Linked DNA regions of Schizosaccharomyces pombe. The gene in region 2 interacts genetically with the main gene of each other region. Each region holds a gene or a part of one and is shown on either strand. Other genes may lie near its edges. The genes, in order: SPOM_SPBC1604.03C, nap1, SPOM_SPAC977.05C and git3.

Evidence for each region.
Region 1: mutations in nap1 (region 2) and SPOM_SPBC1604.03C together harm fitness more than expected from each alone (negative genetic interaction), as found in Schizosaccharomyces pombe (one large-scale study listed by BioGRID).
Region 3: mutations in nap1 (region 2) and SPOM_SPAC977.05C together harm fitness more than expected from each alone (negative genetic interaction), as found in Schizosaccharomyces pombe (one large-scale study listed by BioGRID).
Region 4: mutations in nap1 (region 2) and git3 together harm fitness more than expected from each alone (negative genetic interaction), as found in Schizosaccharomyces pombe (one large-scale study listed by BioGRID).

Annotation. Positions count from the first base shown.
Region 1 is NC_003423.3:3,924,798-3,928,599, reverse strand, and holds SPOM_SPBC1604.03C (uncharacterized protein), read right to left. Parts: upstream 1,631-3,802; 5' UTR 1,587-1,630; coding exon 594-1,586; 3' UTR 501-593; downstream 1-500. Other genes in the region: PPR repeat-containing protein Ppr1, read right to left, coding at 1-177; SPOM_SPBC1604.04 (thiamine pyrophosphate transporter), read left to right, coding at 3,290-3,381, 3,428-3,802.
Region 2 is NC_003421.2:473,024-477,855, reverse strand, and holds nap1 (histone H2A-H2B chaperone Nap1), read left to right. Parts: upstream 1-2,194; 5' UTR 2,195-2,284; coding exon 2,285-3,466; 3' UTR 3,467-4,258; downstream 4,259-4,832. Other genes in the region: GTPase regulator Vps3, read left to right, coding at 1-1,810.
Region 3 is NC_003424.3:35,015-37,946, reverse strand, and holds SPOM_SPAC977.05C (Vel1p domain-containing protein), read left to right. Parts: upstream 1-1,564; coding exon 1,565-2,179; downstream 2,180-2,932.
Region 4 is NC_003421.2:1,541,789-1,548,319, forward strand, and holds git3 (G-protein-coupled receptor Git3), read right to left. Parts: upstream 4,308-6,531; 5' UTR 2,794-4,307; coding exon 1,393-2,793; 3' UTR 545-1,392; downstream 1-544. Other genes in the region: single-stranded DNA-binding protein Ssb2, read right to left, coding at 1-126; meiotic recombination protein Rec7, read right to left, coding at 6,100-6,531. UniProt on the Schizosaccharomyces pombe protein: G protein-coupled receptor (GPCR) that senses glucose and signals via the heterotrimeric G protein alpha subunit gpa2 to activate adenylate cyclase and PKA signaling, and suppress sexual development and gluconeogenesis.

The DNA.
Region 1 (3,802 bases), on a different chromosome or scaffold from region 2:
GAAGAACTTATCTTCGGGGGCCTGAAACTTTGAAATCATCGAAACATTATTTTTGGCAGCAGTACTTGAATGCCTTAACATAGGAAATTGTGTCAAGCAACTGAAAACTCTTTGATAAGACAGCCCATTATGATTAAGAGTGACATGGAGGGCTACATAATGAGCCCTTTTCAGCATATGCAAAGAAACTAATGAAATAGCAGCTGCATAAACTACTAGAAATATTATATATAAATAAAAGGTAATAACCTATGGTTGGTAGATAACCGCTAGCTGAGCGTTAGACGAAGCAAAAAATATTGAGGGTACCAAATTTTGTCTGCAACCAGGCTAAAGAGAGGGGGGTTTTATGGGTTAACAAAAACTAAACTAAAACGATAAAATGCGATGATAAAAGCACGACACCGGCAATGTCTAGCTTCTCTGTGCTTTGTGAATAAAAGGAGTCAACACAACGAGAGCTGTTCGGGTTACTTCCCAACGAGGGCTTACAAATTTGATAGTGCATATAACGAGACATTTAGTAATATTCATTAAGTCTACTCAATTAACAAAAAAATGCTAAACAAATGTAATATAAACTTAAGTAAATGCTAACGGGGAGCTGGAGCGGCATTATACAAAGGACCGATAGCTGGCCCATTAGTAGAAGGATGATCGAATGCACGAAAGGTTTCATAAGTGCTGTTGAATGGCAGAGCAGCCAAGTGTTGCCAATTATCAGTAACTAAAGGAAAGGAGAAGAAAGAAGGGAGAGTCTGAAAAGAGACCAAAAATTGTGAAGCAAGACGAGAAATAAAAAAAGATCCAAAACTTTCAGTAAAATAGGCATCTATGTAGTCAACAGCAGAAGACGCCAGATACGCAGTATAATACTTTAGGAAATCTTTTTTCACCAAATGCTCAAAGGCAGACTTTAAAGTGTAGGTAGAGACGGAAAATGGATCAGGAATTGCATTTTTAAGAAGAGATTCTTCAATAATGTAGAGAAGCTCTTTAAGAGAAATACCCTCATCGTCAACTATGGTACAAAAAACACTAGGCAAGGTAGGGATTGGATTAATACTAGTATCCTCTGTTGTAAAACAAGCAGCAGTAGCAAAACAATCAATGAGAACCTCTTGAATATTAAGACTGAGACCAACGGCTAGATTAGCAAGTGGTGTACAACTATCGTAACACAGACCTTTGATATATTCAGGGTTGCGACTTAAAGTTTGCCAAACTAACTCATGGAGGTTGTAGCGTGCATCATGAACAAGCCTATCTCCATAGAATAGTACAAATGGTTCAATAAACTTTGGATGACCTATGTGAGTTTTGTATGTGGATACATCGATTTCGTATGTATCTAGACCTTTGTGTGTCTGCGGTACTAATAACGGAATGGCTTTGTCAAAAAAATCAACAAAATCGTCGTCTTTGTACTTTCCATACAAACATCCTAACAGTAAAAGAGGTACAGCGTTTATACGGTTCTTTTCATCAACTGGTCGAAATCGTGTGTGATTAGCACGAAACAAAGGAACAATTCTCTTCCTCCTAACTTCTATTGGCGTTTTAGGTGTCGAAAGAATGGCTCCCATTTTTGAGTCAAAAAATTTAAATCAACTATTTTTATGCTTTTTTCAGGCCTAGAGACGATCGTTAAATGCAGTTCATCTAACCCTATAGTGAAACACAACGAGCTAGGGGGTACAGAAGATAATAAGAGGAATTTATATGTAATTGGTAGAGGTATTTGATGGTTTATCATTTTCATGAATTGATAGATAGTTATATCAGTAATGTAAAGTCATTACTTAGAGCAATGGTTTAGCTAAAGACCATTCACCTTTGATAAACGTCAAGTCGAGTATGAATACATCTAAAGCCTTCTTCATTTTTTCTAGTAATTGAAGAAGCTTTTACGATAAATTTGTTTGATGTGCAATTAACATAAATCGCTTTAATTGTTTAAAAGTGCATGACAAGAAAGGAGTGTATGCGACAAGTGTTGAAACCTCGCACTCATAGTTGCATATATACAGAGAAACTAATATAAATAATAAAATTTTTATTTTTTAATTGCTTTTTTATAGTTTTTTTTTTATGGCGCTACCAAAAAATAGAGAGTAATGATTTAAACATTTTAGTTATCAGATGTCTACTGTAAATAAAACGTGGGAAGGAAGGGAAAATCTACGCATATTTGCTTTGTCAACAGAAGAGCTATAAGTGTTCCAAAAGTAAAAAATTAATAAATTTTCATTTCATTTCGTTGTGGTATTTGATGGATTACTTTTATACATCCTGCACATTACCATCTCAGCTGTCTTATGTTGTAATATGAACGTATTGATGTTGTATGGAATGCACTAAATTGAGAATGCCTAACGAACAGAATGGGGTAAACGAGAAACCAAAAGGCGATTGTTCTTGAAATTTGTAGCATGTTCTAACATTTTATCCGTACGGACACGAAATTGACCATACATTTATTATTAAAAAAATAACAGATTATAATATCTCAAAAAGTTATTTATATAGCAAAATAGCTATTTTATTGTGAAACAATTAAATTATGTAAGCGGAATCTTGCGTTTAAAAATCCATTTCGTTCCTCAAGACTGAAATATTAAGCGATAACATTCTTTTGAACATAAGAAAACAGAAGATGAAAGTAGCAGACATCAGTACTAACTAATTTAACAACTACATGTTCTTGTTTTTAGTCATATCCAGCTGTTGCGTACAAACTCTAGTAGTAATTTGTACCGACTATTGTATTCAATGATAGCACGAATACAAAGCAGGATTGACAAATTCTTTGAAGCTCAATAAATTACTTGAGTTATTTCAAAGTTGCTTTACTATGGCTTTAAGTGTTCAGTTAAAGGAAGGAAACTTTGGGATTTCCTTGCATGGCTTTTAAATAAATTGCAGATTTTTAAAAAGATCGTTTAACAGCCAAAGACTTTTTTTTACATAATTTCGTCCGTATACATTGATTTTTTTTTTAGTTTTACAACTGTGAACTACACTTGATCCGGCATCTTACATCCGGTAAGTTAATTAATCAATATTCTATATTAACTGAGATGTGTGCTCAAAAAGTCTAATCGGAAAAGCCGCAAACAGTATTTGTTCGTGTAATTCGGTGGGCGAAATTTTTGAACTCCCATTACACTTATACGTGAATACAAAATACCCGAGATTGTAGTTAAACCAACAGTTATAAGATTTAAACAAATCTTACGCCTCCGGCTTTGTAATAATTAATTGCCGATTGTAGAAACAAACACTATCGATGGGCCTTGCAAAGCAAAAGGACTCGCAAGAGTTTGCCCAACCTGTTTGGCATTACACTTTGGCTGGTGGCATTTCATCCGTAATTTGTCGGTATGGCTAAGTGGCAGGGAAATAGTCAATTAACGATTTAAACTAGATTTATGATAGCACCATTTGATGTGATAAAAATTCGTATGCAAATTACCCAGTCTTCGTTGAGGCCGGTCTTTAAAGAGACTGTTCAGAAGGAAGGCGTACGAGCTTTGTGGAGAGGAAACGTGGTTGCTGAACTGCTTTACTTAGTATATGGTGCTGCCGAATTTGTGGCTTTTTCAAAGTTAAAACATTTAACAGAGAATCTCGCTATGAATGACCATGCAGTCAACTTTCTGTGTGGAACTTCAGCAGGAATTTTTGCTACACTCACGTCCTATCCACTTGATACAATGCGTACAAAGTTTGCTTCTTACGCCAAGACACCTCATATGCTTCCTGCTACGAAAAAAATTTACGCAGAAGCAGGCATCAAAGG
Region 2 (4,832 bases):
TACCTCAAAAACTTCTGATACGATAGAAAGGGCTTCTTTTAGCAAGCCTTCATTTATTTTTCTTACGAATAAATCTTGGGGGTTTGGCGCTGAAGCTCATTTTATGAACAAACTAGAATTCAGTATTACCATAGGCGATATTGAAGCCCCTCTGCGTCGAGTGAGTAAGCGATTGCGGAATCCGAAGAAGTATGGAATAACCAATGATGTCGCTTATCTTCAATCTGCTTATTTGGAGCAAATCTCGGCATTACAGTATTGGAAGCAAGGACAGTATGAAAATTCTCTCTCTTTGCTTGAAACTTCCAAAATTGATCCTCGCGTAGTTATCTCCCTCTATCCAGATCTCTATCATTCGGAGCTTTCCTATATTGCTTTTCAAGGTGTCATTAGTTTTCGCAAAAGCATATTGTCCGTCGATGATACTGTTGCTAATGTTTTAAAATCTAATGAATTGTTTCGTGATACTGATCAATACACTCAGAGACAAATGATTGAAATTACTAAGGAAAACGCATACATCATGTTGATGCGTTATCTGAAAAATTACAAAAAGAACACGAGCATATCTGAGTATCTTTTATCTTCGCAAAGAGACGTGATGCTTGCTGTAGAGCATTCGTTATTACTCCTTTATTTAAATATGGATGATTTAGCCGCCGGTACCAAAAATGCTAAGGAGTTGTTAGAGTCTGGTCTAACTGGTGTTGAAGATATAAAAGATGTGTTGATACAGAAGAAAGAGTATTATTTACTCTCCGTGTTATTGGCTACTGTAAGGGATCACGATGGTGTTCTTCAAACTTGGAAGAAATTAATAACAGGGGATTATGAAGATCGGAGATTCAACGATGGGTTAATTAAAATACGAGAATATTTGGTTAATGATATTGAGCCTTCGACATTCTGGGAATTTACTACATGGCTTTGTAAACACGATGCAACGGAGGGTACGCGCGTTTTGCTTGACAAAACAGTTAGTGGATCCATTTCTGCAGAGGACGTGTTAGAGCATTTGGATTCTTCTCAAGATGATGTTTTGATTGATTACCTTGTAAAGTCGAATTCCGTCACTCATCGAGCGCTACTTTTAAAGTTGTGCGTTAATAAGTTGCTTGGCAGTTTATTGGATCATAACGATTTTAAAAATCGCCTTGAGACTGCCATTGAAACATTTAGGGAGCTTCCTTGCATGGAGAAACCTACGTATGCCCAATACTTGGAACAACTTTGGGGGGACATGAGTGATTTCAGTACTCATCTTTCATTTTACTATTTGTGTTCTATTAATCTGATGGAAAATGTTGAAGAAGAATCTATAGATAAAATAAAAGATATTTTGTTCGACATTCATGTTGACAATTTATATCTATTTCCTCAACTTGAACACTCGTTTTACAAAAGGAAGAAGAATTATGAAAAAGCTTTATCCGTTTTGGTTACGAATATTCATGACTATAAGGGCGGTGAAGCATACTGTCTTCAAATTGATGATGTTTATCCTCAGTGTTGGTGCAATTTGCTCGAAAAATGTATATCAACAGGAGATGGATGTAGTGATTTTATTAAAGAACTATTGTATCGTCGACCCTTTTCTTATACGCTTTCCTACGTGTGCGAGCAAATTCCAGATCATTGGAATCTTAACTTATTAGCAGATTTTTTGTGTATATTGCAAAAAAGAAATGCTGAGCGTTTGAATGAATCCCAAACTCGTTTAACACTTGAGAAGTCGTTGTCTCAAAATTTGGAAGAGTTGTTCATGGCTATTAATCGTCGTAATGTAGCCTTGGGCAAAAACGAAATTTAACCCAGTAACATTTAAAAAGTAACCTTTGGTTCAGCAAAGTTTTTACCTCAATTTTCGATACTTATTCGACTGATGTTTAATTTAATGATAGAATAATTTCAATGAGACAAAAAGATTCTAGCTTCAAAATGTTGTTAGAATATAAAGGGCTTTCTTCTACAGTTAATTCAGCTCTTCCTGATCTTTACTAGTCTTAAAAATATAAATAATATTAACTATGAGCCTAAATTCATCGAATTTTATTTTTAAAAACCCCCTTCGGGAATAAAGAAAGTGTCCGTAACACAACGATGCACTGTTCACTAAGGTCGGAAACCCCGAGGATGAGCTCGGAAGTTCCGCGGGTAGGTAGATTCCCAGGGTGCAGCAAATATTCTTACACTTAGCTTCTACCACTACCCTTCCCAGTGTTATTAAAAGGACGTACGGAAAGCGTCTGAAGCATAATTGATTGCTGGAACAAGTAGAATTAATATGGTAGAGAACGTTAATATTAATAACAAAAGGGCCGGAAAAATGTCTGCCGCCCCAACTCCCCATAACACCCCATCGGGGACGAGCGCTCCCAACTTTGGTGCGAAGGCTCCTCAAGTAAATACTATTGACGAAGGAGATGAGAATTTAGAGGCTATCGACGGAAAATTGGGTTCTTTATTACATCTCACTTCAGAAGGAGTTTCAGAATTGCCTGAAGCCGTGCAAAGAAGGATTTCTGGACTTCGTGGTTTGCAAAAGCGATACAGCGACTTGGAGTCTCAATTCCAAAAAGAGCTGTTTGAGTTGGAAAAAGCTTATGCAAAGAAGTACGCACCTATTTTTAAGAGAAGATCTGAGGTTGTTCGTGGCGCTGACGAACCTACCGAGGAGGAAATTAAGAAGGGTGAAGCTGCCGATGAGAACGAAAAGAAAGAACCTACTTCTTCTGAGTCTAAGAAACAAGAAGGTGGTGATGATACTAAGGGTATTCCTGAGTTCTGGTTGACCGCTATGAAGAATGTTTTGTCTTTGTCTGAAATGATTACTCCCGAAGATGAAGGAGCTTTAAGTCACCTTGTGGATATTCGCATTTCCTATATGGAAAAGCCTGGTTTCAAATTAGAATTTGAATTTGCTGAAAACCCATTCTTTACTAACAAGATTCTCACCAAAACTTATTATTACATGGAGGAATCTGGCCCGTCCAACGTTTTCTTGTATGATCATGCTGAGGGCGATAAGGTTGATTGGAAAGAAAATGCCGATTTGACTGTTCGTACCGTTACTAAAAAGCAACGCAATAAAAACACTAAACAAACTCGTGTCGTAAAGGTTTCCGTTCCTCGTGACAGTTTCTTCAACTTTTTTAATCCCCCAACTCCTCCATCTGAGGAAGACGAAGAATCGGAGAGCCCTGAATTGGATGAATTGTTGGAACTTGACTATCAAATCGGTGAGGACTTCAAAGAGAAACTCATTCCTCGTGCCGTTGAGTGGTTTACTGGTGAGGCTTTAGCTCTTGAAAACTATGACGGATTCAGCGACTTAGATGTTGAAGAGGATGAAGATGATGTTGAATCCTCTTCTAACGAAGAAGTTTCCGATTCCGATGAGGAGGACAGTGATAGCAAGCACACTGCTCATGGCCAGCAAAACGCTGCTGAGTGCCGTCAGCAATAAACAATTTCGATAATGTGCATATATTATGGGGTTAATAACAATGGGTTTTCTGTGTTTTGACTAAAGGAAAGATACTTGAAAAGTATGATTCTTGAGGTTTTCATGCAACATTTGTAAACCTTTTGTTGTACAGGATAGGTTCGGACCACATGTGAGTGCTTGCGGACGAGATTCTGCAAGTTTATAAAGTTTTTAAATATCTTCCAATTTATCGAGTTTTTTTCGTTTATCAAATAAAAATGCTTACAGTCGACGTGTTTTATTTTTTACTGGAATTGGTGGTTTTGAGATGAATGGCTTTAAAAGACCTAAACGACATCGTCTACATAATGGGAGGTGTGATCGTTCTTGGCGAATTTTCCGAGTTTCTAGTTTGAGTACGAAAGCCTTTAAAGATTTTGGAATGCTTATATTTGATCAATCATGATGAAAACGCTCGGACAAACTTGGACGTTTTAATATTTTCTTGCCTTTTTTTTCAATCAAATGCTTGCGAAAAGAACTAGTGATAGTTTTTTATTGTTAGTTTAGACCAAGTTGAAAACACTGACTGTAAAAATTGACCTTTAGTAAAGCTTAAAAAAGAGAACCCTTTTTACGAGCTTTTCTAGAAAATAATGCTTTGTTTTGACTTAGAAGTAAGCAATTGAGAATTCATAGTATGAATGGGTTGCATCCTAGTTAGTCTACTCTACCCAAGAAGTTGGGAAGGTATAACTAAACCCGATGTGTTTACATAAAAGGCTATTTCGAAAGAAATGAGTGTCAAAGTTTATCAAAAATACGATTTGTTTTTTTTTCGTTTTTTTAGACATAAAGAAGCTTGCAATTCTTGGAGTAAGAAGGAAACTAAAAAAATGCGGAGCGCATTGTAAAAGAGTGTTCGGTTGTTATAGTAAGTTCGTCTAGCGTTTAACAGATACCAGTTTTGTTTTTTAAAGTTAGAATCATCAAATAATGGAGATGATTACAATTGGGATGGAGGATTGCATACTACAATTTATCTTAGTCTAAATTTAAAGCATATTTGACATATCTCTTACAACATCTAATATTTTAATTTTAATACTTGCCTTAAATATATTATAGCTTTTATAATTTTCGACTTAGACACTATGCCTGAGTGGTTAAAGGGACAGACTAGAAATCTGTTGCGGTCTCCGCGCGCAGGTTCAAATCCTGCTGGTGTCGAAAATTTTTGGCAATTTTTATATTGAAAATTCTTTATATTCATTTGCAACTTAAGAATGTTTTTAGTATATAATGCAAAGGTCCTAAATAAAACAGCGTCCAATTTGATGGAATGCGTTTAGTTGTATAATATTGTTGCAGCAATTTGGTGGACTCAAAACACTGAAAGTCAATT
Region 3 (2,932 bases), on a different chromosome or scaffold from region 2:
AAGAAAAATTATAATGGAAATAGATGAATCTAAAACAAATTTAATTTTTAAGCGATAAAATTGAAACAAACATTCGTCAACAAACTACTCTAAAATTTCACCTGCTACTAGTTTTACTACGAAAACGTAATATACTAGGGTTTCACAAGGTAAGTCATACATTCTAAATTTCTCCTTCCAGCATTTTGAAAATATCTTCTTTGCTCTAGACTTTGTTAAATACAGATGTAATAATATATGTTAACCACAAACTGCACCTACTTGACATGTGAATGGATGATATCTAAGAGGTGAAATTCAAATCTAAAGTAATGTTATGCAACATCTGTTAATTGTGTTTGTATTTCTTCTTAAAAATAATTACACATTTAACACGAAGCCATGAAAAGCGTTAGAGGTTTCGCCTCTAACTGATTTAAAAAGGAAACCCAAATTTTTTCCCTTCTTAATTTATGTAAAAGTATTGAGAAATACCTAGTTATAAAGATGAAATTTCGAATATTTCAAATTTCATATAAAGAAAGATTTCTTTACAAGAAATGAATGAGTTTTAAGAATATATTCACAACAAAGCATTTGATAAAATTGATTTATTAAGTATGCATTGAAACATTCTAATGAGATTTTTTAAAGGAAACTGCAAAAAAATAGGGCGGTATATATGCAACTCGTTAAAGACGAGTAGTATAAGAATTGCTTCGCTTTCTTCAAAGACTAAATATGGAAAAAGAGTGGGGGATTACTATATTAACAAGTTTTCAGAACAGAAACAGAAACAATTACAACTATCTACAACCGAGAATCTCTTTAATTAATGTTTTCCAGTTCAGTCTGGTTGAAGATTCGTTTTTTGGCTTCTAAGTTAAAATCCAAGTAAATAACTGACGGGTATTTTATTTTAGAATAAATCGATAGGAATCCGAATCGTTTATAATATAATAAACGGGATAAAAGCTACTCATATTGCTAATGATAATCCAGTAGGCATACTACGACTGAAGAAACATAATTTTTTTTCGAATTTTTCCTTATCTAATGGAACCAGTACCATTTCGTGAATTAGCAGATTTTCATTTGTTTGTTTTGGCCTCGTTATTCAAATTCAATAATGTAATGGAAGATTTTCCAAGAATAATAGACGTTGATAACAATGGGTGGGAAACCGCAAATTTTGTTTGAAAATCAGAGGGAAGATCTACACAACAAAAAGAGCAACAAATTTGAGCAGTAGAGAAAAGACCAAAAAAGCGTGTGTTTTCTGAGACAAATGTGTCACAACTCGCCGATAAATTCGCAATCACATAAAAATTGGTATTCGTTATTGACTAGTGGGAAAACCACGTTACCTCAACGATTTGCAGTTGTTACCACTTTTGGTGACATTTCAAAAAGAAAAAGGTGATTTGCAACGTTTGAAATTGCGACGATCATGATCTACGCGAAAATATCTCATTTTATATATGTACGAGTTAATCTATTTTTGTTGCTGAAAAAAGAAAAAAAAAACTATATAAACCGACTAAAATCAAACATTTCTTTACAAACATTCAAAAGATATTTCCATATGATTTTCAAAAACTTAATATCTCTCTTTTTCATTGGGCTCGCTACCGCCATACGCTTCAACCTCACTGATCTTGAGTGTAGTAGACTACGCGGTCCGCATTGTGGTACGTATCTACTGAAAGTAGTAGGAACGAATGCTACATACGTTGGTGAAAAATCATTTATAGGTCTTGATGCTTTGACTGAAAGTAAAGGTGAATTTTTTCAGCGTATGTTGGAACAAGAACCTCGACTTATTCCACGTTTGTTTACGATAGCTGAAAACGACACGGCCAACTTTACTCCCTTGACATTTACAACGTATTTGAAAACATGCAATCCTCAAAGTATTGAAAATGCAATGATCCCTTTTGTGAATACTGTTACCAGTGAAATTTCTTTTGATGCATGGGCGTATACAGCACAAAATTCAAGTCGGATAACGGGTCTTAGCAACCAACTGATGAATTCTACTCTATATAATGTTCAAGTAGCAACATGTACTCCCGGATTCTCTGCGTTATTGTTAGATAGTCCTACAATCAATGTTTTTAATAACGAGGAAGGCATGCCAAGTTGGTGTCAGCCCATTGAACTTATACCAGTTTGTCCTTTGGATGAGGGATTCAACTGATATATATATAATCGTTATTTAAATCGTGGGATTTAAAAATAGGGGTTAAATTTATCCTCTAAAAACATTTAATTAGAAACGCTTAAGCAATAAAAGTCTTTATACTAGATAAAATATTGTAAATTGTTTTTTTTATTTTTTTTTTTTATTTTAAACTTATACTAAACATATTTTCTAACAAATAACGGAATTCATAAGTATTTTGATTTTGTTTATGTGTTTTTCGCTTTTTATTGTGTTTTAATGGTAAGGAAAAGTTATAGCATACTTCATTTTACTAGTGAAAAAAGCATAACAGGAAATCTTTTAAGTTAGCGACAAACAGTTACTCGGCTTCCAAGCGGTTGCAAATCATTCGTAGTAGATCGACAATCTTGGAATGAGTCTATCAAACAAATCCGCGCTAGGCAGTACGCTAAAATGAACAGCAACACATTTGATTTTACCGAGTATTGAGTATTCTCATCGTCGTTATAACCATTAACGGATTTGTACGTTTTGTTTATCTTCACAGAGCCAAGAGATCAAAGAAGGACTGAGGTGCGTTAAGTACGGTCCAACATGTAATTATGTTCTTTGTCACAAATTAGAGCCACAGATCCTAAAAGTCTAAAATACGAGACAAGGTATGATTTTTCAAACTGTCCCTAGAATAAGAGTTGATCAGCCAAAATTATTGTGCAAGATGAAGCTGTAAGGCTAACTAAAGACTAATGATTCTATAAATAGAAAACATAAAACATAATGCTGAAT
Region 4 (6,531 bases), 1.1 Mb from region 2:
TCTATCGACGCTGGGCTGGCTCGATTGATCATATTCATTAAATCCAGCGCCTCCTCCCATTCCTGGAGAAAAAGCGCTATTGAAGTCGGGACCATAGCCCGGCTTGCCAAAAGCATCATAAGCCATGAGCACGTATTATCTCAAATTATGAAAGTTTGTTAGGGTGAATTAAAGAGCGATGAAAAAGCAAATCAACCACTTAAAAATATATCTGCGATCTTTTAGAGAGTGATTTTTAAATAATTGAATATAAAGTTACAGCTGATTCCACGAGTAGTCTACTTTTCAGTGGTGTGTTTAGTACAAGTTACGAGTCGCGTTTCGCGGTGGTGTACCGAAAAGAATAAAATCAAGCAAGCGTGCTTATATACTACAATGTAATAAAATTAACTGTTTTATTTAGAAAACCATCTTACATCTACTTTTTTTCTCTATAACCGTATAGTTTTCAATACAAAAACCTACTAATCACGGGATGCTCAATTGACTTAAAACGCTTAAAGCAATCAGATACTGTGCTACCATTCTGCTTTACCAAATGTAAAGAAAAACTAAAAAATACATTATTAAATTTGTAAACATTAACACATTCATATGTAACAAGAAGGCATGGAACAAATGTCCGACGCAATTTTACAAATCGTATAGGAAGAAAAGCGATTTATCCACAACAAAAGAATAGCTAATGGTGAATGACTATTCGCACATCGACATATACAAAATAAGAACATAAACGTATTGCTATGCACAATCCATCCATTTTATGTATTGAGGAAATATAGTATTGGGGACATAAATTTTGAATATAGTTTTGAAGACAGATGCTTAATGCAAGCAGTAAAATGTAAGAGCATCTGAAAAATGAAAACGAGTGAATGATAGTTGGTAAAGCTGAACATAAACATTCTATATAAGGAAGAATTGTTTAGGCGACTAAGCGTTCCAAAAATGAATTCCCCGAGATGAATAGAAAACTGTCATAGACACAGTACATATATATACATCGATAATTGTGAGCGGCCTTATCAATTTGAAGCAGCCAAGCTTTAAACCATCTTCCAATCCGAGCCTTTTGCCAAGTTAAGTAGTGCCAAAATTTAATACTTCGAAATAAATTCTGGGAAGCGAAAATTAAAGTATGACATATATTAGAGGTGATGCAAAAATGGGAGATATTAAAATATTAGTTGGTTTACCACAGTTGTTTCCATTCACATTCCATTGTCATTCACTGGATGGCTTTAACAAAAAAGGAAGACATATGAATGCAAAGGCTATGAGAAAATTTTAAGAAGTAAAGTGATAATAAAATCGTCATAAAAAGAAATTATAATACAAGAAGAGGAGCTTGTGAGACTTCACCATAAACAAAAATAAAAAGAACAAATCCTTCTATTTTTCCTCACCAAATTTACCCCGCCACCATTTTAAAGTCAACTCCTTTATTTGATCCCAATAACTTTTACTCGAATCTCTTTCCTTCAAATACGTGTAGCCACGATAACAAATCCAAATAAAATCTGACAAGGCAATAAAGATGGCAACGAAGTTGTCTGCAAAGACTGCAACAAATGCGAATCGTTTGCATGAACCAGAGCAGTGCAACGGTTGGGCAAGTATAACGATAATCTGTATTTGAGGGAGAATCCACATAAAGATAAAAATTGCAGGATAAGCAAACAAAAACTTAGACTGACTTAAAATGCGTTTCCGTTGTTTAAGGAGGGGATCATCTTGCATATCATTTCCATATGCAGCCAAAACACTAGAAGCACCATCTTCGTCACTAGTCAATGGACTACTGAGTTTAAAACTCGTGTGATCTTCAAGGCCATTTGTGCGATTTGGACTATCCCTAAAATCCTGTTCGAAATGTATTCCTGATTGATTTAGATTAGCAGGAGTAGACTGCGAACCAGGAGGCAAATTAGGATGCACAGAGGATAGTAACGGTCTCGAATAGGGAGAAGGTTGAGACTGCGAGGAGTAAATGGATTGAGAATTAGATGGAGTATATGTTAAAGTACTGTTGGTGTCGGGAAATGGTGGAAGAGCTACTTGATCCGGAGCGGTAGGATACGAATCAATGACATTTAAAGTATCAAACACATTTGTTTGTTGATGTGAGTATTTCTTGAAACGTTTGATTTTCCTTCTGATCGAGATGAACATGCAAGTTTGTAAAGCAATAATTGCAATACTTAGCGCATAATCAAATGACCAATTCAAACCAAACATGAATCGTACAGGGGTATAGGGAAGGTAGCATCGGGTTTGTAAATTGACAAATGTATTTCTTTTATTGGTAAAAGCAAGTCCGCCAATAGTTAAAGGAATTACAAATGACAGTGTAAACACAGTATGCCGAAAACGATATAGACCCCTTCGTTCAGTATCAACATGGGGGAAAAGCACCAAAAGAGCATTATGCAATATGTTGATAAAAATCCAATAATCAGTCATCCGAACAAGTACCAAAAGAAAAAATCCAATTGTAAAGCATCGATGTTTTGGAGCCCAAAAAAAAGGATCGCTTAATGCTAGACATGGATGAATCATTTGCACAATGGAACGAATAAACAATACAGAAAAAAGAGCGATATGAAATTGTTCACGTATTGTTCGCCGACGAGACCATCGCCAGAAGATAGCAATTAAGCTGAAAACGATAGATATGGCTGAAGCTATAATGACCATGATTCTCAGGTTAGCTAACTCTCTGCGAGAGACAATGATGATGGAACTCGTACTCGTGGCATCGGAAACATTAAACGTATAATCTAAATGAAGCATGAGCAACCTTGTTCCTTATTACAAAGTTTAAACTTCTCTTCAAGAAGACAGGAAAAAAAAAGAGAGGAGAGGAGGTGAGAAAGTAAAAAACAAGAAAAGCAATATCAGAACGAAAAACAAAAAAAAAGACAAAAAAAAAAGGAATACTCCAAAGACAAATCTATGACTTCAGAAATGTTCAAATAGACAAACAAGAAAGCAAAACAGAATTTTCAGCCACTTGGGTAATCAGTCCTATTACCCTTAAGAAGTGCAAAAAATAGTATATCTCGTATATCCAATTACCCAAGATTGCATATCTGACCCTCGATTTTCTATAAATTGCTTCGTTCGCGAATATAAACAGTCTCTTCAAGTTGATGTAAAAAACTTAGCAAACTGGCAATATAGAAGGAGCTCTCTAAACTAAACGAGTTTGTTTCGAATATGAATTTGAATTCCCGTACTTTTATTTTTGTTTCTGTTTTCTTTTTTCCAAAAACAAGCTTCTCGTCTTTACTTTTCAATTAACTCAACTATTCTTTCGAAAGTTGTAGACACACGATTAAACTGTTAAAGGTAAAAGTTGAAATAGTAAATCTACTGCTTTTTCCTTTAATCGTGGCCGACGAAGCAGCTCAAAAGTGATAAACGAATGCAACCAGGAAAGCCGGACGCAAAACGGTGCCGACGATTATTAATAAAGCGCAGTCCCGTCTCGACACTCTTGGCAAGAAGAAAAGCGCAATTGACGTGAACAACCAACGATGTATTGTGCTTATAAAGAAAGCACTAGTGAAGTCACTTAGAGCTCAAAGCCACTTATGCACGTTTTGCAAGGCTCTTAATAGCGTGGCGAACCTTCTTAAGGATATTGAAGAATAGGGAAATCGGAGGCGGTATGGCTTGCAATTAACGCCGTACAGTGAATAAAGCGGTACTAAATCAAATCGGTGAAATTTACCGATAATTAAGGAAAAGACAAATCAATTGAAGGCGCCGTGGTTTGGGTTGGCTGATGGAGTTGGCTTGATTATAAGTAATGATGGCGGAGAGTTGCCGCCTTTGCTGTTGTGTATGAGTGTGTAGTGAATATGCACAAATATACCTCAACGACTAATGGATAAGGTGTTATAGCAAGTACAGTAGTTAAGTACCAATGCGGGATTTTTCTGAAAAAATATGCAAGCACACGGGCTTGACAGAAACACAAGAGGAGACAAATAAACCAAAGTCTCCGCACCTTAAGTCCACAGAAGAAGAATAAAAAAAAAGATCGCAATTGAATTATGTGAGGGGGCCCAGGCGTCAATAGTACAGAGTCGATTGACTAAGTAGATTTAAGATCACAAGCTGTAGAGCAAATCAGAAATTTGCACCTACGCAGAGACAATGAACAATTGTAATTTCAGAAAAAAAAATATCGACAACGATTCAAATTCCGAGTAATTTTCTAGCAAGACTATTGAAGAAAAAATTTCCCTAATCCCTTGATGAGCCTTGTCGCACTAACACAATATCGGCGATGCTTTCACACTCCTAGATGTGCTACCACCAACCATTATAACTTATGAAAAAAATTTGTAGTATCGCTGTAAACGAAATTTTTGTGTAAGAATGACGAGAGTTGTTTTTGCACAGACAAACGAGGTTCGGACGATCGGCCTATTTTTTAAGTACGATAGTGATTAGTATAGTATATCGTGAGGAGCAAATACAATCGCATAAAAAAAATCAGGGTGAAAAGAATCATTTCAGAGTGCGTTAATGAGAAAGTCCTCGTTATAAAAGAAAAAAAGGAACCGATGATTTAAAGTTATTGATGGTTTTAAAAAACAGCGTTTATTTTTACAGTGTTTAAAGTCAAGTCAATATTAGGCACAAGAAGAGGTCACACTTTATTTTCAAAAGAAAATGGATGAAATGCAACTCCATGCGTTGCGATAAGCGTTAAACACCAATCTAGGAAGCAGTCCCTCAACAGAAATGAAGCGAAAATCGAATGATGGTGAGAATAGAATAATAAAACGAGCCCCGGTAAATTGAAAGTTGATAGAATCAAGTTTCAATTAGGGGTAATGAAAACGTGCTTAAAAATAGGGAGTAATGTTGTAGTTACCAAAATGAACAATTCGGACCAGACCAATAAATATTGTCGAAATAAAACAAGGAGTGTTAAATTTTATTATTATGTCTTTATTCTCCTTGGAAACCGGTTCGTCCACGTGAAGAGAATTCTATTAGCATTGTCGAAACCGTTTGATCCGGTTATGCCTTCATATCTTTGAAAACATTTCCGCCAATTCCACCAAGTGAAAATCACAATATCGTTAGTCGGTATTGTCTTTAGGTTTACTAGCGGGGGCGTTTTTGTTTTGAGGAAAAAAGAATATTCTCTGGTTTCCATCTACCTTAAGTGCCGATTAGGCAGATAAGCTAGATTAAGTGAAATGGGAAACGGGATTCATTTTCCATTGACAACACTTTTAAACATTATTTGATAATTCGCATGCAACCCTTCAAAGTCGATTCGACATTTTAAGGTTTACTTCACGGACATTGAAATCATTGTGAAGCTTTGTAGACTGTTGTCTCTCTCGGAAGTACCCAAAAAAAAAAAAAAAATCCTTTTTACACTCATAACGTTCTAGCTGTTTCATCCCTTTAAAAAATATCATGTTTTTTTTTTGGTGCTCGGAACATTTACTTTCTCCACTTGGTTCGTCTATTTTTGAAGTTAAACTAACTATTTGACCATTTTCGTACTTAATGTCATGAACTCCTCTCGTGGATTGTTAAGTCAATTATCAAAACCAACCACCAACTCAATTTTAACCGTTGTAACCTGACCCATTATTAACACTAGTATTCATGCTGTACTTGCGGCAATTCCCCCATCAAAAAGTTTTCAGAGTTGTCTTTTGATACCGATTATGTGTCGTGGTGGAGGCTTACACCCCAAGGATCGGAACGGGATCTTCTCAATTTGATTTTAATGCTCTGCATGGACAAGCCTAAGGGAAAAGAGTCATGCAACAAGTAGAGAAATTTATTTCAACATTGTTGTGTTGGCGGTTTCTGTTTGCTAATCCTCAGCAACGATCATATGCAGTTGAGATCTCGACCAACTTTTCGTTAAATAATGTCAAAATTTGCAACAAATGTTTTATCACGGTACTCGAAGAATGTGAACTTAATGAAGTTTCTCATTTGGTTGCCAAATTGTGGTCACACATCAATTTTGTCGAAATAACCATTCCGATCCTGATTTCGTTCCATTTTTACTACTTTTTTAAATTTGGGATTAAGTTGAATTGGTCTGTCTTCCTACATCTTGTTCCATACCCGTTCCAAACTTTGACATAATTGGATGAAGCTGTCTTGTTTTAGATAGAATAATACCTTGGAGCGTAATTGCTTTTCCTCTTCAGTAAGTTCTGTTGGTAGGATTTGTGAAGTCGTTGGGGGTGATGGAATCAAATTTGCGTATGCTTGGTTCTCCGGTTGAGCAACCCACGAAGCCTGTGTCTGAGAGTTCAGCGGCGTAGCAGCAATAATGGGGTATTGTGAGTTTGCACCGTAAGAGTAGGCATTACGATTGGGATTAAAAGGTGATGAAGTTATCACCACGTTTTCATCCCAAGTGGGTTGTTGTGACGCAGTAATACTTTCAATTGATGTATCACTTCGAAGGGGCATTTGGGTCATGCCCGCATCCCCGCGGAATCGCTTAAGCGGTGGTGTATTGGAGAAGATTTC